2 linked regions of the Stegostoma tigrinum genome follow. The protein of the gene in region 1 interacts with the protein of each later gene in a biochemical or structural test. Links are inferred from orthologs where the notes say so. Each region holds a gene or a part of one and is shown in the gene's direction. Other genes may lie near its edges.

Region 1 (10,744 bases):
ATTGATGGCCTTATTCAAAAATTATCTAGTAAGAGATGTGCAGAGGACGCAGATAAATGGAGTTCAGGATTCCATGCAGGACACGTTCCAATGTTGCCAGCACAACACTTAAATAGAATCGAGGGATTGATTCTTTGCTTTGTTTAGCATTGCTTTGCTTTGGAATTGTAGCATATTGAAGTGTTCCAATGTCATTTGGTTTAAAGATTAAACACTGTTCTACTGTACAATTAGACTATACGAGGTGGGGGTGAGGGGAGCAGTATGTATTTGTTTCAGTTTGTGCCAAGAAAAAAAAATCTGTTGAAATTTGAATTGTAAAGTAGCAAATGGGAATTGAGCAGGAGGAGCGGCATCAGACTAATTTTCATTGTTTCTAACATTATCATCCATTAAACACTGTTTCAAAGGTTTTAGAGTCGATTTGTAGCTCGCGTTATGGCTGTTGAGGCTGGTTGCCTCGCCGGGCTGGTTTGTTGTTCCTTAGACGTTTCATTAGTTTCATTTCTCTGCTGGGTAACATCATTAGTGCAGCCTCTGAAGTGTCGGTGTGTTTTCCCATCTGGTTTTTAAACTCTGGAGTCTGTTGGGCTGGATTGCCTCACTTCTTCTGGTTTTCCTTTTGTAGTGGAGTGTATATGGGGTCGAGTTCTGTGTGTTTATTAATGGCTTTCTTTTGAGGAGTACCAGGCTTCTAGGAATTCCTGTGCCTGTTTCTGCTTAGCATCAGGAACACATCAAAGCTAACCACAAAACTCCCATGACCACTGGGCATCACAGTGGCACACAAGCTCACGTCAACCCTACAACAACTGCTCACCCGAACGAAAGGCCCACTCTCTGGCATGGCCAGGACCAATGTCATCTACCAGATCCCCTGCAGAGACTGGGAGAAACATTACATCAGACAAACAGGAAGGAAACTAACAACAAGAGAACATGAACACCAACTGGCTACAAAAAGACACGACCAAAACACACTCATCTCAATCCACATGGATAATGAGAAGCACCAATTTGAGACAACACCAAATTGACTGGGACAAGCTAAGCTAGGTTGGAGGAGATGCAGTTGTCATTTGGAAGGGCTGTTTAAGGCCCTGAATGGAGTGTGCGTGTGCGTGTGAGTGTGGCGCGCGGGTGTTACATCTTTTACGGTTACGGGGGAAAGTACTGGGGTTGGAGTGGTTGGTGGAGAATGTGGTGTGAACTAAGGCATGACAAAGGGAATGGTTCTTGCGGAAGGCAGAGAAGAGTGGGGAGTGAAAGATGTTCTGCATCATGGGGTCACCACCCATTTCGACTCCCTATCCCACTCCCCCTCCGACACATCTCTCTTCAGCTTTCTCCAGTGTTGCAGTGACTAAGAATGCAAATTTGAGGAACAGCGCCATTTATCTTCTGCCTGGACACCCTACAGCCCAGAGGACTCCACACTGAGTTCTCCAATTTTGAATAACCTTGCCACCCATCCCCTGGCTTCCCTTCCAGCCCCATGTCCTCCCTTCAATTCCACCTTCTGACCCTCTCTTCCAGCCACCAACTGGATTCATACACCCCTTAGACCAACCAGGTTGTACCTACCACCAGTGTCTACCTATCACCACCATTCTGCTTCCACTCCTCCCCACTCTATTTGCAGCTCCCCCTACCCCCACATCCAGTCCTGAAGTAGGGTAATACCTGAAATGTTGACCGCTCCTTTCCTCCAGATGCTGTCTGGCCTGTTTGTGTTCTTCCAGCCTCCTGTTTGTCTACCTGGGATTCCAGCATTGCAGTTTTGTTTTGTCTCTTAGACACTCGGGAGCTGTGGAGGGAACAAAAGATGAACTTTGCCCTCACATTTTCTCTCAAGATTTTAATCTAATTTTTGTAATTAAATTGGTCCTGCATTGTGACAACTTACACACATCTCAGTATATTTTCAGGACTACAAGTGAGAATAAATTGCTATTCTATTCTAAATTTTCTGCTTATCAGTTCAATCTCTCTCCAATGCTAATTTGTTTATGTAATGGTCTTATTAACCTGTGTTACATTTTCATGATTGAAAATGTGTTTATATGTGCCAGGTTGCAACCTAAGGGAGATAGACAGACAAACTCATGAAAATAATCTGAACCATCCAGGGTGATCATCTTGGAAAGGAGATAACATCAGTTATGGAAAGTTTATTTTGGGTAAAAAAAAAATGCAGCCACTGTTAATTGCCGTCAGTTTTGTGTCAAACTGCATTCAGTTTCAATCTCTGACAGAAACTTAGCTACTCCTGTATCCACAAAGAACCTATGAAAGATTTCATGCTAAATGCCTGAAATCTGCAAGAAATGTGATCTAAAAAATAATGTTTAATATCTCATGGGCAGGTTCATTATTTGTCTTGTAAATATTTCCACTTGTATTTTAATTATACTTTCTACTGCTGTGCAATTAAATCTGTAAACCTGATATTTACTGCAGTGGGCAGAAAATGTAAGGCATCTCCAGTGGATTACACCTAAAATGAAAAGGCAACTGTTAGGCTTGCGATCTGCTATGTCATTGGTGTCACACAAAGCTTATTGGAAATTCATTGTGCTTAGAGAAATTGTTTTGCTGAAAACACAAATTAAAATTAGGACGCTCCAAATCATAAATACATTATATACACAGACTGTGTTTATTATTAGTTGTGGCTACACATTTGTCCAGCAGAGGTCACTGAACAGCAGCTGGGAAGAGCATTCCTCAGATTTCCTTCTCTTCCTCCCCAATGCTATAGCTCTGCAATGTTTTCTTTTTCACATTTGAATTCCCTTCATTTTGGAAATTAATATTTGAATCCTTTTCCATCAACCTTTCAGAAAATTCAGTACAGATCATCATAACTTTTTTTTTCTGTTGTGTTTCTTCCGGTTCCATTACCAATTTCCTTAAATCTGTTTTTACTCTTATTACTGATCTTTCTGCATAACAAATTTCTCCTTATTTGCTGTCAAAACCTTTCATGATTTTTGACCATTTCTACTAAATCTTCCTTTTAACTTCGCTGACTTATTGAATACTATGCCAGCTTCTCCCGTCTCTCCACATAAGTACTTCTCATTTATAGGATGTCGGTGTTGTTGGCTGAGCCATTATTTACCGCCTGTCCCTAGTTGCCCTCAAGAAGGTGGTAGAGTGATGACTTCTTGAACGACTGGAATCCATTTCAGTGGAGATGCTCCCTAATAACGTAATGGGGGTGAGTTCCAGGATTTTAATCCAATAAAAGTGAAGGAATAGTGAGCTGTTTCCACGTTAAGATATGGAGCGGTTTCAAACATAACATAAGAAACTAGGAGCAAGAAATGGCTTTTCAGCTCCTTAACCCTGCTCTGGCATTTAAAATGATCATAGTTGTTTGGAGGGGAACTTGCAGGTGGTAGCATTCCCATGTACTGGCTGCCCATTGTTCTTCTCGATGATTGATAGTGATCATGATTTTGGAAGGTGCTAAACAGCCTTGCTGAATTTTTTGCAGTGCATCTTATAGATAGAAAATCAGGGAGAACTGGAGAAACACAGGTCTGGCAGCGTCTGTAGTGAGAAAACAGTTAATGTTTCAGGTCCAGTGACCCTTCATCAGAACCATTCTGATCAATGGTCACTGCACTCAACGTTAACTGTTTTCTAACTACAGACGCTGCCAGACTTGCTTTGTTTTACCAAGACACTTGATTTATTGTTTCAGATTACCAGCATCCGCAGTTCTTTGTGCATCTACACTAAAAGACACAACACTCAAGAAGTCCAGCTTCTTGAATGTTGTTGGAGCTGCACCTATTCAGGCAAGTGGAGGAGCATTCCATCACACTCCTGACTTGTGCCTTTATAGATGGTGAACAGGCTTCCGGGAGTGGGGAGATGAGTTGTTTGCTGCAGGCTTCATAGCCTCTGACCTGCTCTGGTGGCCACCGTTTATATGGTTGCTCCAGATTGGTTTCTGGAGTCTTATATCCCTGGTTCTCTCATCTTGTTGATGATAAATCTCCCCTGTATCTTCTCCCAGGCTTTGTGACCTATGCAGGTGGGAAGATGACAAATCCCAGAATCTAATTTGCATATCTCTCCTCATATCTAACTACCTCTTCTACCGCTATTTAAATATCTGCTGGGGAGCTTGGTCTGTACGATGATAAATCAACTGTGGCTTCCTTTCGGGTCAGTTTCTAATCAACGTACCGTGTGTTCAATCTCTGAAATTTGCAATTTTACAAATTATCAACCTTGCCAATTTGATAGATCTACGGTTTTTTTAAAAATAAACTTATCTTGATCAGTGATTCCAGTGAACACTAAATTTAAAATATTCCTGAATATTTAACATTGCATCATTTTCCAAGTCTGACATATGTGAACTGGTCCTGGTTAGTTTTACCTTTTTGGTATTGTGCATACAAATCACTCTTCCTAAGTACCACTTCAAACTGAGAAATACCAAAATTTAGCAGGCAACTTTGAAATGCAGCACAGCATCAAAAGGATCAGCATTGCCAAGTGTTTTGTTTCGAACAGATCAAAATGTTTGGTGGTGGCGGCGTGGTGAAATCAGCTAAAACAAATTTGTTTTTGTTTCAGGTTGATAGTTGGCACAAGGGGAATTCTACACAAGGCTTAAGGGAATTCCACAGAGGTGGAGGTTCTGTTTGCCTGATTCTGTAAGGACTCTCCTGAGAGCTCCCTTCAATCCATAGGTTTCCAGTCCACTCCCAAGGCCAGATAGCTTCAATTCAGATTGACAATACAAAGACTTAGGGAACCTTCCCAACTTAAACCACAAATTTTCTTAAACACAAAACAAGCACTGACCTTCTACAGCAGTACTGACAGAAAGCTGCACTGTCTGAAGTCTTGCAGATATATAACATTTAAACTGAGCGCCACTTTGTTTCTTTCAGATGGCAGTACAATTTCTTGGGCTATTATTTCAAAGAAGAGATAAGAAGAAATAACCAACATTTATTGCTCGAGCAATATCCAAAAACAGTCTATCTGATCATCACCATAACGCTGTTGGACCTTTGTAGTGCTCTGTTTATTTAAGTGAATTTCCAACGTGATGATAATGAGTAAGTGCACTTATGGTTCAGCAAATATGAAACTTTAAGATCCACTGTCTTTTGGAAAGTGAATGTCTTATAGTCTGTTGATTAGCAAATATTTGACCAATGATGTGCAGGCTAGGTGGATTGGCCATGCTAAATTACCCACAGTGTTCAGGGATGTGTAGATGAGGGGGGGGTGGGTCTGCATAGGATGTTCAGAGGGACGGTGTAGACTTGTTGGGCTGAAAGGCCTGTTTCCACACTGTAGGGATTCTATAATCCAAGTAGTTTTTTTAAAATTCTGATGCATTGTATGTTTTGGCAAATATTATAATTAACTAATTTTGGAATGTTCTGCAGTTATGGAAAGCACAATATAAACCTAAGTCTTTTGTGCATTTGGTTGACCTAGTAAAGGGTAGGAGTGGGACCCTGGGAGACAGAGGTCATGTGCTGAAACTTCTGGAGACAATAACAAACACAGAAATAGCAGATGTAGAAAGCTTGCGGTTCGGCTTGTCTTTTGTGGTCTTGACCGTAAACTTTAACGTCTGTAATCGCTGGGCATAGTGATGAGGATGTGGTGGGAACATACCGGACACTGAAAATATAATTTAATTTTAAGGATCTGAGCCATTAGGAAATCTTTCCAAGATAATAAAGTGTGAAGCTGGATGAACACAGCAGGCCAAGCAGCATCTCAGGAGCACAAAAGATGCTGCTTGGCCTGCTGTGTTCATCCAGCTTCACACTTTATTATCTTGGATTCTCCAGCATCTGCAGTTCCCAATATCTCTCAGGAAATCTTTCCAGCAGTCTGGAAAAGAGACATTTAATTTTGATGACAATTTCTTTCGTCCATTCATTTATACGAGCAGACTTTTTTTGGATCAATAAATAGTAAAGATTGGAAGTCACCAACATGTTTCCTGTGACAAACTTCATCTCTGGAATAAAAACATAGATAACAGGAGCATGAGTAGGCCATTCAGCTCTTTGAGCCAGGTCTACTATTCAACAGGATTATGGCTGATTAGTCAAAATGATTATGACTGATCATTCAACTCAGTACCCTGTTCCCTCCTTCTCCCAAGCCCTAAGAACCTTTTCCAGAAAACATTAAATTCTGGCCTCCACTACTTTCTGTGGCAGAGAATTCCACAAGATCACCACTCTGAGTGAAGAACTTTCTCCTATTCTCAGTCATTGAGAGCCTCCTGACTGCATTTATCCTACGTAGCCATCTCAGAAATTTTATAGGGGCTTCTTCACCTCCACCCCAATTCTTCTAAAGTCTAGAGAATACGGGCAGCCTTTGAACTAACTAGGCAGTGATCTGGGCTGAACAGATTCAAGACAAACCAGGACCACAACGACCCAGGGATCCAACCTCTTGATCCGAGGCTTTACTCCAAACCTCGGTGTTGGACTTGACTGGCCACAGACCGCGTTGGCCTGGTCACCTGAAACTCAGCAAATGGGAAAGGGATTGCCTGGCTCAGTGAAATAATTGAAAATATTGCAGCAGGTTTGATTGAATCTAGATAAGACGAAAGTCGAAAAAATTGTGCAAACCTCTTCTTTAAATAAACTAAAACCATGATGGTGCAGCCAGGATAACAAAGTGTGAAGCTGGATGAACACAGCAGGCCAAGCAGCATCTTAGGAGCATCTTATTCGGGTTACTCGTTCAACGCGGAGGCGCGCCCGCGGCCACGGCGCCGTGACGTCAGCGCGCCACGCGGGAGCGCGCGCTGTAGCTGCCGTCAGTTGTGTCTCGTGCGAACGTTGTGGGTCCGTGTAGTGTTTACCCCTGTTCATAGATCAATAATTTTTTTGTTAAGAAAGGCAAAAGATCCGTCGATCTGTTATATATTTTGAACATCAGCGTACAGGAAACGACCACCCCGCTGTGAAAAAAGGGGAATTTTTCTAAGGAATGTCGAATCCCGGAGCTCGACGGAACGGGTCAAGCATTAAAATCCGGCTGACAGGTAAGAGAAGTTCACTTCGGGCAGGTTTTTGAAGTCTCTTTAGTCGCCGACACGTCAGTGGAGGTTGGAGACCGTAGGATCCGGCTGGAGATGTGACAGAGAGTCTGTGAAGGCAGCTCCGCGGTTGTTTGTGGTAGTTGCTTGTTGCCGGTCTGGAGGCGGCGGCTGTTCCCCGTCGGTCCAGACAAGGGAGGCGAACGGCGCGTGCGCACTGGCCACTTCCTGTCTCAGTCAGCCATTGATGGGGAAATGTCCATCTCACTGAGGGTTTATTATTGCAGTGAAACACTCCAACCAGCTGTACTGTGGTTGGGAAATGTGTAGCCCAGATTCAATGTTACACAACAGTGGAAATGTTTTCAGCCGCTGATGTGTGCAACGAGATTTGGAGAACTCAACATACACTGAGTATTGAACCCTTCGGTTGTGAACTTGGTACTACAGACTGTCAGATGCATTTAAAAGTAAAGTCTAATATTTTGTATTTATGCTGTATGTACAGTATTACCACATAACAGACAAGGACGGCTGGTAAAAGGAAACCTGAGCGTTTAATTTGGTTTTAGATTGACTAATTTTATAAATAAATCTTTATGTGTGAAGTATAAATGTATATAAAATGTTTTTTTTATTTAAACAGCTGAATTTTAAAGTTCACAGTGTTCATTTTGCCCAATAGGATACATGTCAGTCAGTGTTGATCATTGATTCAGATTAAATATGCACTGAATTGTTGGAGGTGTGAGTGGTGCCTCCATGTTTGTATCTTGTTTTCCCAACATTTTTCAAACAAATCGTCATGTTTTCAACTAGTTGCCTAAGAAAGCATCATAACTACAGTTTTGTCAGCGCTTTCCTAACATCGACTTAAGTAGTTTTGTTAGCCTTGTATTTAAATGTCAGGGATGAATACATAACGTGGGACTTCACATGGTCTCTGAAGGTTTTTAATATTAATAATTTAAACTGATTACATTTTATCTGTGGTTATTGCTTTGGACAAAAATCAGGTCACCATGGCAGGAGATAAATAATTGTTCCTATGCGTGAAGATATTTTACTCAACTTTACTTTTCATTCGTTCTGATTCCGTTAAGTTGAATTTCTTACCAGTTCAGATTGGCAAAATGTCTCAATGTCTAAATCTTTTAATATTTTGCATTCACTAAGAACATAACTGAGTTTAGTTTGAGGCCAAACTAAGTATTTCAAATCAAATTGTATATCATATATTTTCCAAACCTCCAGGGTTTGTAGTGGTTGATCAACGGGTACTTCAAATGCAGTATCTGTAAATTTTTGATATATTTTCCAAAATTTTGCTCCCCCTTTCCTCATTATTTGTTTTATTTTAGTATTTTGCATTTTTTTCAAGTTCCCTTCTTTTGCATGAAGTAAAACAATTTTTGTTGTACTTATTAACCATTATATTTCATTTCTTGTTAATTTTTTTCAATTTGTTCTTGAACGTAACCCAGCCCTAATTGGTTATTTCTGCTTGAGTCAACCTATCCCTGGTGGTGCACCTTCAATAGTGATGGGGAGGGAATTCCAAGATTTCCTGCCAGTGGAATGAAGCCAACATATATATACTCAGTTTATATATTCAGGCGTTTGACTTGGAGTTGACAGCATAATCGTGTGTTGCAGTTCTTGCTCATCTTGGTAGGGCTGGGAAATGCATTAAATAATCATAAATATGTATTAATGTTATAAACAATAAATTTATAATTATAAACCTCATAGTGGTGGCATGAAATTCTTAAGGGGGAGGATGAGCAGCCAGAGATCGTGGTGTCCTTTGCTACCAACAACGTAGGTATAAAGAAGGATGAGGTCCTGGGAATGGGTACAGGGAGTTAGGAAAGAGGCTGAAAAGCAGGACCTTGAGGTGTAATAATCACTGAGTTACTACCAGTGCCACGTGCTAGTGAAGCAAGAAATAGAAAGGTAGGTCAGGTGAATGTGTGGCTAAGGAGCTGATGCAGGGGCAGAGTTTCAGGTTCTTGGATTGTTGCGACCTCTCCTGAGGCAAGGGTGACCTGTACAAGAGGGACAGGTTGCATCTAAATTGGAGAGAAACCACCATCCTCACAGGGAGGTTCACTAGTGCCACTTGGGACGATTTAAACTCGAACGTCAAGGGGACTTTGAACCAGAGCTGCAGGCCAGAAAGTGGAGGGATTGAGGGGAAGATAGATGTTGGGATCAGTAAATCAGAAAGAAAGGGCAGGCAGAGACATGTAAATGAACAGGATGGCACTAATGAGCAGACGTGTGTTTGTTTATTTCAATGCAAAGACTATTAAAGGTAAGGCAGGTTAGCTTCGAGCTTGGATCAGTTCATGGGACTATGACGTTGCGGCCATTACAGAGATTTGGTTGAGAGGGGGACAGGACTGGCTACTCAACATTGCAGGGTTTCGTTGTTTTACTCAAGGTGGAGAGGGATGTAAAAGAGATGGAAGGAGCTGCATTACTAATCAGGGAGAATATTGCATCTCTGCTCAGAGAGGACATGCAGGAGGGCTCATCCACTAAGGCAATATGGGTAGAGCTCAAAAATAAGATGTATGGAGTCACCCTGCTTGCATTACACCTTAGGCCTCCAACAGCCACCAAAAGATTGAGGAACAAATATGTAGGCAGATTATGGAAAGGTGCAATAAAAACAGAGTTGCCCTAGTGGGTGACTTTTCGTAGAGCAAGTGGCTTAGATAGGGTGGAATTTGTTAAGCGCATCCAAGAGAGTTTCTTGAAACAGTATGTGGATAATCCAACTAAAAGAGAGGCCATACTGGACCTTGTATTGGCTAATGAGCCTGGCCAGGCGACTGACCTTTCAGTGGGAGAGCATTTTGGTAACAGTGAAAGTTTTAAGGTGGATGTGAAAAAGGATAAGTTAGGACCCTATGGGAAGGTACTAAACTGGGGGAGGGCAAATTATGTCAGTATTAGGCAGGTGCTAAAGGTTGTTAACTGGAAGGAGCTGCTGTCAGGCAAGTCCACATTTGACATGTGGGAATTGTTTCCAATAAGAGTTTAGGACCAGCATGTTCCAGTAAGGCAGAAAGATAAGGATGACAGGATAAAGGACCGTTCGATAATGAGGGAGGTTGTGAATTTTGTCAAAAGAGAAAAAGAAGCATATGTAAGATGTAGGAAGCTAAAATCAGACTCCCTTGAGGAGTATAAAAAAAAGGCAGGAAAATACTCAAGCAGGGAATTCGGAGAGCAAGAAGGGGTCATGAAATGACCTTGGCAAGTAGGGTTAAAGAGAATCCCAAGGCATTTTATAGATAGATTTAAAAACAAGAGAACAAATAGGGAGAAGGTAGAACCACTCATAGATAAAGGCGGAAACTTATGCTTGGAGGTAGAGAATGTGGGTGAGATCCTAAATGAGTACATTGCATCAGTATCCATCCGGGAAAAGAATATAGAGGATAGTGAGATTTGTGTGGAGAATGCTAGGGCATTTTGAGATCAAGAAAGAAGTCGTGTTGGATGTCTTGAATGGTATTAAGGTGGATAAGTCCCCAGGGTCCGATGTTATCTACCCCAGGGTATTGAGAGAGGCAAGAGGAGATTGCTGGGGCCTTGACCAAGGCCTTTTTATCCTTGCTAGCCACTGGAGAGGCCCGGTGGACTTGTCAATAGCTAATGTTGGTCCTCAGTTCAGGA
Region 2 (10,632 bases), on another chromosome or scaffold:
AATTCCTTTGAGTGAACAGTCTATTGGAAGTCTATTTGTGATAAGAACCCATGTTGAAGATCAAATGATTGCAACAGTTAGACAGGCAGCAATGATGTCTGATGATTATGAGCTTATCCAGAAACTAAACCTTTTCTTGATCGCCTTCATATGTTTGAAAGGGATAGAAAGTGGGACAGTGCAAGGAGGGCAAGTAGACAGGATAAAAATGGACAACTGGAGATGCCCCTACATCATCATCTCCACTTAGAAAGGAAAGCACTGAGGGTGGACATGAAAATTGAAGGCCTAAGTGTTTCCACTGTAATAAAACGGGACACATTTATTTAGAATCTTGGAAGTTGTGAGGAAGTCTATGGAACATTTTGGCTTCATCAGAATGTATCTAAAAAAGAACACATTGAAAAATGCCATAGATCAAATATAACTACATCTAAAGAATCATAGGTAAATATTGCTACGAGTGCAGGACAGGTGAATAGTGTAATGAAATGTTTTTTTTCCCTAAAGGGAAAGTAATTCCATTTGCATCAAATGCTAGAGCTATATGTTAAGGATATGGGGCTACTCAAACTCTAATGTTTGAGAAGGATTCAGTCCAAGGGAGTTCAATGAAAGCTGGGGTGCTAGAAAAGTGGAGAGTGTATCCTGATTCCATTGTACAGATTCTGATTGGAATGTATGTTGTTGTCTGGACCAGTAGTAGTTGTGGTCATTAAAAACAACCTGTGATTGGAGTAAAATCTTGGGGATAGCTGGCATGAAAGCTATAACTCTCCCTATTTTCATCGAAAGCACAAGTGAGGTTAAAGAGGCAGAACAGTTACAAGGTTCCAGGTATTTTTCTATTGTGTTTGGTGACCAGAGCAATGCCTAAAGAAATACCTCCACCAGAGGCAAAGGTAATAACACCAGCAGATGTTAGAGTCATCAAAACGCTCTTTAAGAACAGGAATAATTCAAAAGATGTGTTTGGCGTGTCTTCATTAATTTAGGTTCAAACAGCAGATCCACAGTTAATTAAGTTCGCACATAAATCTCATACTGATGCTGAGACTGATTCAGGATGCTATTATACTTGGTATGGACAACAAATTAAAATTTAATCTGATCACAATTCTAACTTGATATCTATAGATTTCCAGGTCATTATCAGTAGTTTGGATTAAAACAATTGAAGTCAATTGAAGAGGGCAACATGGTGGCTCAGTGGTTAGCACTGCTGCATCACAGCACCAGGGACCTGGGTTAAATTCCACCCTCAGACAACTGTCTGTGCGGAGTTTGCACACTCTGCTGTGTCTGTGTGGATTTCCTCCTACAATCCAATTTGCTCCTAATGTGTGGACTACTTGGGTTAGCCATGAGGAAGTTCAAGGTTACAGAGAGGAGTGGTGGGTCTGTTTGAGATGTGCTTGGAGGATCAGTGTAGACTTGATGGGTCAACTGGCCTGCTTCCACACTGTAATGATTCTATGAACTATATTTCATATGCACTCATGGAGCTTTGGTGAGATAGTATCACACTCTCAAAACCACGATTAAGGCATGCTGTTATGAACGCTGATAGGATTAAGACAAAGCTATTGATTTCTTACTATTTGCTACAAGTGATTTTCCCAAATTACTTTTCTGGGTTTAATTCATTTGAACTGATGTATGGTCATAAGATAATCCATCAAAATTGACTAAGGAAAAGCTCTTAAGGCAAAAATGTGAATCCTCAATGTTGAATTACATGTCCATGGTTCTGGAAAGACTCAGATGAGTATGTGAGGTAGCACAAGACAAGTTAAAATGATCATGTTATAATTAGAATGTGTTTCAAAGATATGAAGGATTAGATGATTGGCTTTGTGATGTGAAACTCTGAAAACAAAGTTCAGTGGTCCATACAAGGGTAGTTAGGATTAGTAAAGTGACTTACCTGATAGATACTTATGATCACAGGAAGAAGAATCAGTTCTGTCATGTAAAGGTGTTGAAGCAATATCATTGCAGGGAAGAGGATAGGGATGTGGATGTGTGCCCGGTGGTAAGAATAATGGAGACTAACAGATACAAAAAGATTGAGGTAAAAAGAAAGGCAAAGTTTATAAAGCGAACATCAGACACAAAGCCAACACAGCAACACTAGGACAGTGTTCTTGTATTTAAAAGAAGACCAACGGGAGCATCTAGTAAGATTACTTAAGAAGTGTAAACTATAAGAAGTGGACATTTTTCTGGTTTTACAACAATATGTTACAACCAACATTGTAAGTCGAGCCCCACTACTTCCAGCATCATACCGAATGTTAAAAGTGTTTTTTAAAGTGTGCACAGAAACCTAATTTACTTGACTTACAGGCCAAGGTTGATCAAAAGTATGGACCAAGTTTCTGTACTAACCAAGAATGATTATTTATTACAATTAATTATATTATAACTACAGGTAAACAGGTATTAATCATTTGCATGTAACACTATGAATCAAACTCTAATCCCCTTAAGATCTCCACACACAGACACAAACAAATGGGGAAAAATAGATTATTGGATGAAGGATAAAAATTGGAATGTCAGTTCAGTGGTCTTTGTTCCTTGGTTCCAATGACTAGATGATCCTTCTTCAGCTGGAGAGAACCCTCATTGGAATAGAATGTGACTCAATTGTTTATTAAGGTTATTCACATTACTGGTAAAGATAACATGATCAGAGGTGCATTGTTCTGACAATAAAATGTTAGAACTTTTAAAGGTTTAAGAAATGCTGAATTATTGTATCGGGCATCAGAACAGGGGACAAAGGATGAATAGTAATAAGTCTCATGTTTTATTGTTTATGTGATGTATACCTTGTGATGAAATGCTTTTTTGAAACAGCGTTTCGTCTCTTGTAAAGGTAAAGGAACATAAAGGCCACTCTTTTTATTGCTCTTTATTTTGGACTGTGGACAAAGTTGAGAAAAGGTCTGCTTTAAACCGAGCACTGTGGAACGAGTTGCTGTACCTTTAAAAACAAGTTATTAGAACTCATTGTGACTTGTATTTACTCTGTTGCTTTGTTCAAGCAGTGGCGAAAAATGTTCAAGATGCTGTTATGCCAATAAGTATGCACATAGTAAGTTTCACCTAGAGACAGGATTTGATTGTTTTACATATTGAGGATCAGTTGCAGAAGCCTGGAGTCATCCGAATAGAATATCCTTTATTATCATGTTTATTCAACATAAAATACAGTAAAAAGTGTGTACTGTCATCACATTTGGGCACCATTCACATTAACATAGAATACAATTTAAAAAAGATAACTTAGAGTTTCTAACTTTTCCTTCTGTGCAATGGCACTACCAGGCTCCCACTCTGGGCTTACCAGCACATGCCATGCCATCACCAGGAACCCACTCCATGTGGAAGTGAGAGTTACTCTCCAGGCTTCACAGGTTGATCGACCGACTCTATAGCCATGCATCCTCTGAAGATGCCGCCACTGCTCTGGAGCCCATTGAAGTTGCCTCCTGCCAAAGAGCTCTCTTTATCAGGTAAGTCTGAGAAAAAAGAAGCAGTAGAAGGATAAAGATAAAGGAAAATAAATGCAGACAAAGAAGATGAGCCTGAACATTGCCTACTGCACTGCTACCATTTTACTCAGCATGACATAACCCTCTGGCTGTTGGGCAGGTGAACAGACAGGGTGTGAACAAAAACAAAGTTGCTGGAAAAGCTCAGCAGGCCTGGCAGCATACGCGAAGAAGAAAACAGAATTAACGTTTCGGATCTGGTGATCCTTCCTCACAACAACATTGATGCAGAACCTCCAGAATGGAGGACAGAAAATGTCCAAATCTCAGTGCAGCGAAGTACACAAAACTGGAAGGTGAAAAATGGAAGCGCTGGAAGATAGCTAACTATTCTCTTGCATTTACTATAAGCTATTACCTTTAACCAGTGACGGAAAGACTGAATCACTAGTGTAGAAGTTGTTCTGTGCAGGCATGAAGAACTTGTAAAGGATAAGAAACCTGCAAAGTAGAAAGATTTAGGAAACCAAAGGTGCTATTGAACTGTGTTTCCCAGTACTATTTTCCTCATAGAATCGTTGAGATGTACAGTTGGTTCTGCTATGTGTGTTCCAGCAATGCGAATTGTCTATAATGCGATCGACAAATAGGGGAACGTTATTTTTAAAACACGGACTTGCATTGGCTATAATGCAATTCCATGGGTGCTCCTCATTCTGGATAATGCACCAATCCATCCACCCACCATTAGTGAGCTTTCTGATAACATCAAAATGCTATTTCTATCCCCAGACACAACTCTCTACTTCAACACATGGACCATGGTGCAATAGCAGCTTTTAAAGCTTATTATTTAAGGTGCACATTTAAGAGGCTAATTGCAGCCACTGAGTGGGATAAGGACAGTGTTCTTCAATTTTGGAAAAGCTTTAACATCAAGGATGCAATTGACATTATCGCAGAGGCCTGAGGGGTGATGTCATTAGGAACGGTTTGCATGCAGTTTGGCAGAAGCTTCTCCCAGATTTTTAAAAGATTTTAAAGGCTTTGATCTGAGAGAGGAATTCCCAAGAATCAAAGAACATTGTGTTTATCTTGCAAAGCAAGTTAGATTTGAAGAAGTGGAGAGTGAAGATGTTGAAGAGCTGCTTGACTCTGACTGTGAACATCTTGTTACAGCTGATTTACAACAACTTGTCACTGAGGGCAAAGTGGAAGCTGGAGGTGAAGAAGATGAAGTCCAGGATACAGCACCATGAGAGCTTTCCACTTCTGTTTTGTCTTCTTTCCTGAAGGAAATTGAGAAGCAGTTGTAGCTGTTAGAGGACATAGATTACAATGCAGAACACAGCAGGGTAGCAGTTCGTAGGATAAGATCTTATTTTGCATCCTACAAACAGCTTCATGAAAAAAAGAAAAAGGACAAAGCAGTAAAAATGGGATTTTTTTAAGTCAACACCCCCCACCCCCAAAGAAACAGTCAGAAGGCAATGAACCACAGCCACCGGGATTAACTATTTTTCACTCTAACCATGCAACCACAACTGTACTTGAAGGTGATGGTGGTGATGATGAATCCAAGCCTCAGCCCCTGCATTAACAACAGAGCAACCTCAAAACGTCTGCCCAAATCAAGTCATCATTTCTGAAGAAGGATCTCGACCCGAAACGTGAAACTTTCCTGCTCCTCTGATGCTGCTTGGCCTGCTGTGTTCATCCAGCTTCACACTATTATCTCATCAACATGACATTTTTTTTCAAGCTATGGTATTAAATTTGCTTTTAATTCATATCTAATCATGCAATAAACGTTTATTCAATGTTAACCACTGTGTTGTCCCTCTCTCCCCCTTTATGTCTCTCTCTTCCCCACCATGCCCATTCGCATCCTTGATATCCCTCCCTCCTTCCACTCAATGTACTCCTCTCCCACCTCCCCTCCCGCTTGATGCCCCCCTCTCTCACCCTCCCTCACCCTTGATGTCCTCTCCCACCCCCCTCCTCACCCTTGATGTCCTCTCCCACCCCCCTCCTCACCCTTGATGTCCCTCCCTCTCCTTTCTCATCCTCGATGTCCCTCCCTCTCCTTTCTCATCCTCGATGTCACTCTCTTTTAGCCCCCCGCCCATCCTTGATGTCCTAGTCTGCCTTCCCGCCCCCTCCCCCATCTCGCGGAGGGTTACTCTCTCCCTGTGCTCCGCCTGCAGTCTGAGCGTCGCCAGCTCCTCTCTGGATCCGAGAGGGAAGTTCGGGAGAGGAGGGGAAAAAAGAAATGAAACAAAAAAACCAAGCAAAAAGATAAGAAAAGTGTCGAGTTCCAGGTACAGGGAGAACAGCGGCGGGTTGGGAGTATTGTTGTAAGGGTTGCGGCGCTCAATGCGGGCGGTTTTGTGAAGTTTTCCACTGAAGTCTAGGACATGGCGTCGCCCCGGGAGCTGCCTTCTCCCCGCTGCCCCCACTCGGGCTGCAGAGGCCTTTGGGGTGCCTGCCATTTCAAACCTCCCGTCATCTCAGCTGGATTGTTTTATTTCGGCCATTTGCACCCTCTCCATCTCAGGCCACGGGGAAGCCGCCTTTATTCGGGCTGTGGTTTCCTGATTTGCGGCCCGGCCCAACCCGAAACTCCAGTGGGTTAGAGGCTGTGTTTACGGAATGGCTGCGGAGGAAGGAGGACACAGGGAGACAAATTGAGGTGGAAAGTTTTAGGAAGTGGGTACTGTGCCCCGTCCGCAGTTGTAGTTGCGGCTATTCATTGCGCGCTGTGCCAAGCGGGGGCGATGATCAAAATGTTTTTTTTTGCTTTGAGGAACAAAGGATGAAATGTCTAGTTCCCGAATATTGTTTGTTCCAACCTTAGAACAGACCTGAGAAAGGGACAGGTGTGTGTGATTTCCCGGGAAGAGAGTCGAGATTGTCGGTGGCTACAATGAAATCTGATCAGATGATAGTGAAGCTGGGGGTGGGGGTTGAATGCTGGGTTCCGTTCTCGACAAGAGAACAGCAGCTGCTGGATCGTTGAGCTATTACCTAGATTTTGCCAAACTCAAGGGTAGTTCACAGACTTCGAAGCTGTTTTAGTTTTCGGTGATTTAATTTATATCCTTAGACATAATAAAGCTGCCTCCTTAGGGCGTAATAAATTTCTTTAAAAAGTTTTCTGATAGAATGTCATTTTGTATCCAAGTTTATTTTTTAAATGCATCATAATTTGAGATTATTGTAACAAATAACATTTAATATGGATGCACTTTGATTTGTATATTTATTGGGTGTTATATAAAAGTGCTGAAATTGATACTTTTAAATTAAACTTCTGATAAGTAGACTTATTGATGTTCAAAAATCCTGATTCTAAATAATTTGCATGACAAGCTAATGTTAAAATCATTGAATTTTATATCATACCAATAAATTAAGATATTTTATGTTAATTGTACATAGACATTACTGTATATTGTACTAATAGTTTCTTAAAGTTGCAAGAAAATATACGAGTATTACTTTTCTGTTGAAATTATACTCGAGACCAAGTTCTTGAATTTCAAATATCAGTGAGGAAATTAAATTTTTTTTGGATGGAGAGTGAAAATTAAATGATTATAATTTCATAGGGTAAGTGAAGAGTCACTATAATAGAGTCATAGAGATGGTCATTAATTTGAGCAAATTGTACTGTAATCTAATTATGTTTTTAAGCAGCAGAATGAATATTTTACATAGTTGTCCTTTGTAGGCATATTTTTCTCTTGCCCCACAAAAAAATGCAAAGGCAGTCTTGTTTAGTGTTATCGTCTTGCACTTCTGTACTGTTATTATTTGCATGAATCTTTTGTTTTTATTGCATGTGGTCTACCCAACTGTGTGGCCTTAATACTCCTCCTGCCTTTTCCTCTTCATTAGCCAACATCACCTTTTAGCTAAGATAATAAAATGTGAGGCTGGATGAACACAGCAGGCCAAGCAGCATCCCAGGAGCACAACAGCTTTTGTGCTCCTGGGATGCTGCTTGGCCTGCTGTGTTCATCCAGCCTCACATTTTATTATCTTGGAATCTCCAGCATCTGCAGTTCCCATTATCTCTCACCTTTTAGCTATTTGGCCATTGCTTTTTGCTTCTGAGTCCTTTCATTTCTTAAAGAAAAGAGGCAATTTGTCATTTCTTTTCAACTGATTTTTTAAAAAAAACCCAGAATTTAATCTGTATCTTTGCTAAAACCTAATTATTTGTTCATTGGGCCATGCCCGATTAGTGTACCAAGTTTCATTGAAATTCACCAGTAGCTTTTAAAAAAATTTGTCAAGAGACAAACAGGTGAAAATGTCCCCTCTATCCAGCGTCAGTGGCTGAGGTAATTATGTTGACGTACGATGTATTTTATGCAGTAAGCTAAACAATTTTTAAAGCTCATTTGATGTGAGCCTCTCTGACCAGGCTAACATTTATAGCTAATCTCTGTTGTCTTTTAGAAGTTGGTGAGCTGCCTTGAACAACAGTAGTCCATTTGGTGCAAATACACTGTTCTGAGGAAGGGAGTTTCAATATTTGATTAGTGACATTCAAGGAATGGTGGTGTAGTTACAATCAATGCGCATGATGGTGTATCTTGTATTTGTTGCCCATGTCCTTCAAAATGGTAAAAATTGTGGTGTAGAAGTTGTCACTGGACTCATGATGAATTGTTGCAATGCATTTTGCAAATGGTATGCACAGCTGCCCCTCTGTTACTTGTAGAAAGAGTAATGTTGGTGAATGAGTGCTAATCAAATGAGCTGCTTTGTCCAGGATGACTTCAAGTTTTTCAAGCTGTACTTATCCAGCCAGGTGGAATGTATTCTGTCATACTCCTGATATTTGCCTTCTAGATGGCTGACGGGCTTTGGGGAGCCTGTTGTTTCCCTCAATTTCCAGCCCGTGACCTGAGTAGGTTATTACTGTGTAGATAACGAAGTGTGGAGCTGGATGAACACAGCAGGCCAACCAGCATCTCAGGAGCACAAAAGCTGACGTTTCGGGCCTAAACCCTTGATCAGAGAGGGGGATGGGGAGAGGGTTGTGGAATAAATAGGGAGAGAGGGGGAGGCGGACCAGAGGTGGAGAGAAAAGAAGATAGGTGGGGAGGTAGGGAAGGGATAGGTCAGTCCAGGGAAGACGGACAGGTCAAGGAGGCGAGATGAAGTTAGTAGGTAGGAAATGGAGGTACGGCCTGAGGTAGGAGGAAGGGATAGGTGAGAGGAAGAACAGGTTAGGGAGGCGGGGACAAGCTGGGCTGGTTTTGGGATGCAGTGGGGGGAGGGGATGAGCTGGGCTGGTTTTGGGATGCAATGGCGGAAGGGGAGATTTTGAAGCTTGTGAAGTCCACATTGATACCATTGGGCTGCAGGGTTCCCAAGCGGAATATGAGCTGCTGTTCCAGCAACCTTCGGGTGGCATCATTGTGGCACTGCAGGAGGCCCATGATGGACATGTCGTCTGAGGAATGGGAGGGGGAGTTAAAAGGGTTTGCGACTGGGAGGTGCAGTTGTTTATTGTGAACCGAGTGGAGGTGTTCTGCAAAGCGGTCCCCAAGCCTCCACTTGGTTTCCCCAATGTCGAGGAAGCTACACCGGGTACAGTGGATACAGTATACTACATTGGCAGATGTGCAGGTGAAAATCTGCTTAATATGGAAAGTCATCTTGAGGCCTGGGATGGGGGTGAGGGAGGAGGTGTGGGGGCAAGTGTAGCACTTCCTGCAGTTGCAGGGGAAGGTGCCGGGTGTGGTGGGGTTGGAGGGGAGTGTGGAGCGGACAAGGGAGTCACAGAGGGAGGGGTCTTTCCGGAAGGCAGACAAGGGTGGGGATGGAAAAATGTCTTGGGTGTTGGGGTCGGATTGTAGATGGTGGAAATGTCGGAGGATGATGCGTTGTATCCGGAGGTTGGTGGGGTGGTATGTGAGAACGAGGGGGATCCGGTTGGGGCGGGGGCGGGGTGTGAGGGATGTGTTGCGGGAAATGCGAGAGACGCGGTCAAGGGCGTTCTCGTCCACTGCGGGGGTTCGTAATAAACAACTGCACCTCCCAGTCACGAACCATTTTAACTTCCCCCTCCCATTCCTTAGACGACATGTCTATCATGGGCCTCCTGCAGTGACACAATGATGCCACCCGAAGCTTGCAGGAACAGCAACTCATATTCCGCTTGGGAACCCTGCAGCCCAATGGTATCAACATGGACTTCATAAGCTTCAAAATTTCCCCTTCCCCCACTGCATACCAAAACCAGCCCAGCTTGTCCCCGCCTCCCTAACCTGTTCTTCCTCTCCCCTATCCCTTCCTCCCACCTCAAGCCGCACCTTCATTTCCTACCTACTAACCTCATCCCGCCTCCTTAACCTGTCCGTCTTCCCTGGACTGACCTATCCCCTCCCTACCTCCCCACCGATACTCTCCACCTATCTTCTTTTCTCTCCATCTCCAGTCCGCCTCCCCCTCTCTCCCTATTTGTTCCAGAACCCTCTCCCCATCCCCCTCTCTGATGAAGGGTCTAGGCCCGAAACATCAGCTTTTGTGTTCCTGAGATGCTGCTGGGCCTGCTGTGTTCATCCAGCTCCACACTTGGTTATCTTGGATTCTCCAGCATCTGCAGTTCCCATTATCTCTATTACTGTGTGGATGCTGTTTGTTAGCATTATTGGCAACACCTTCCATTGCTTTTCAAGGGATAATTTATTAGTGTTTTTGTTAATGGACCTTTGCACTGCAGTTGCTTGCATTGACTGACGACGGCCAGTTAGAAGTATTAAGACTTGGGGTTCTGCATTGATTCTTTAGCAACGAAAATTGAATTCTGTGCTTAAATGATGCATTTGCTGAGATTTGTTCATTGGCACTTCATTTCAGCTTAAACTTTTAAAAATGCCATTAGAAAAGTGACAACATTTCTTAAATTAATTAGAAGCACAGAGACCTGAAAGGTTTTCCAAATGGTTTATCAGACTGTCTGGGAAATCTTCTTAAAATCTAGATAATCAGCTGGTCAAAATTGCAGTATTTCTGTTTCTGTCTTCAGATGACTTTGACAGTAAGACATAGTGTCATCGACTCGTACAGCATGGAAACTGACACTTAAGAAAAACTTGTCCTTAACGAT

The links. The genes of interacting proteins can lie anywhere in the genome.
Region 2: of the proteins of smurf1 (region 1) and mothers against decapentaplegic homolog 5, one has a biochemical effect on the other in vitro, tested with the Homo sapiens proteins (3 studies listed by BioGRID, with this or other methods). The link is inferred for Stegostoma tigrinum from reciprocal best matches to the Homo sapiens genes SMURF1 and SMAD5.

Annotation. Positions count from the first base shown.
Region 1 is NC_081376.1:11,651,542-11,662,285, forward strand, and holds the start of smurf1 (E3 ubiquitin-protein ligase SMURF1), read left to right. Parts: upstream 1-6,810; 5' UTR 6,811-7,005; coding exon 7,006-7,060; exon of another isoform or gene 7,061-7,219; intron 7,220-7,300; exon of another isoform or gene 7,301-7,523; coding exon of another isoform or gene 7,524-7,524; intron 7,525-10,744. UniProt on the Homo sapiens protein: E3 ubiquitin-protein ligase that acts as a negative regulator of BMP signaling pathway. Mediates ubiquitination and degradation of SMAD1 and SMAD5, 2 receptor-regulated SMADs specific for the BMP pathway.
Region 2 is NC_081366.1:34,600,663-34,611,294, forward strand, and holds the start of mothers against decapentaplegic homolog 5, read left to right. Parts: upstream 1-5,646; 5' UTR 5,647-5,824; intron 5,825-10,632. UniProt on the Homo sapiens protein: Transcriptional regulator that plays a role in various cellular processes including embryonic development, cell differentiation, angiogenesis and tissue homeostasis.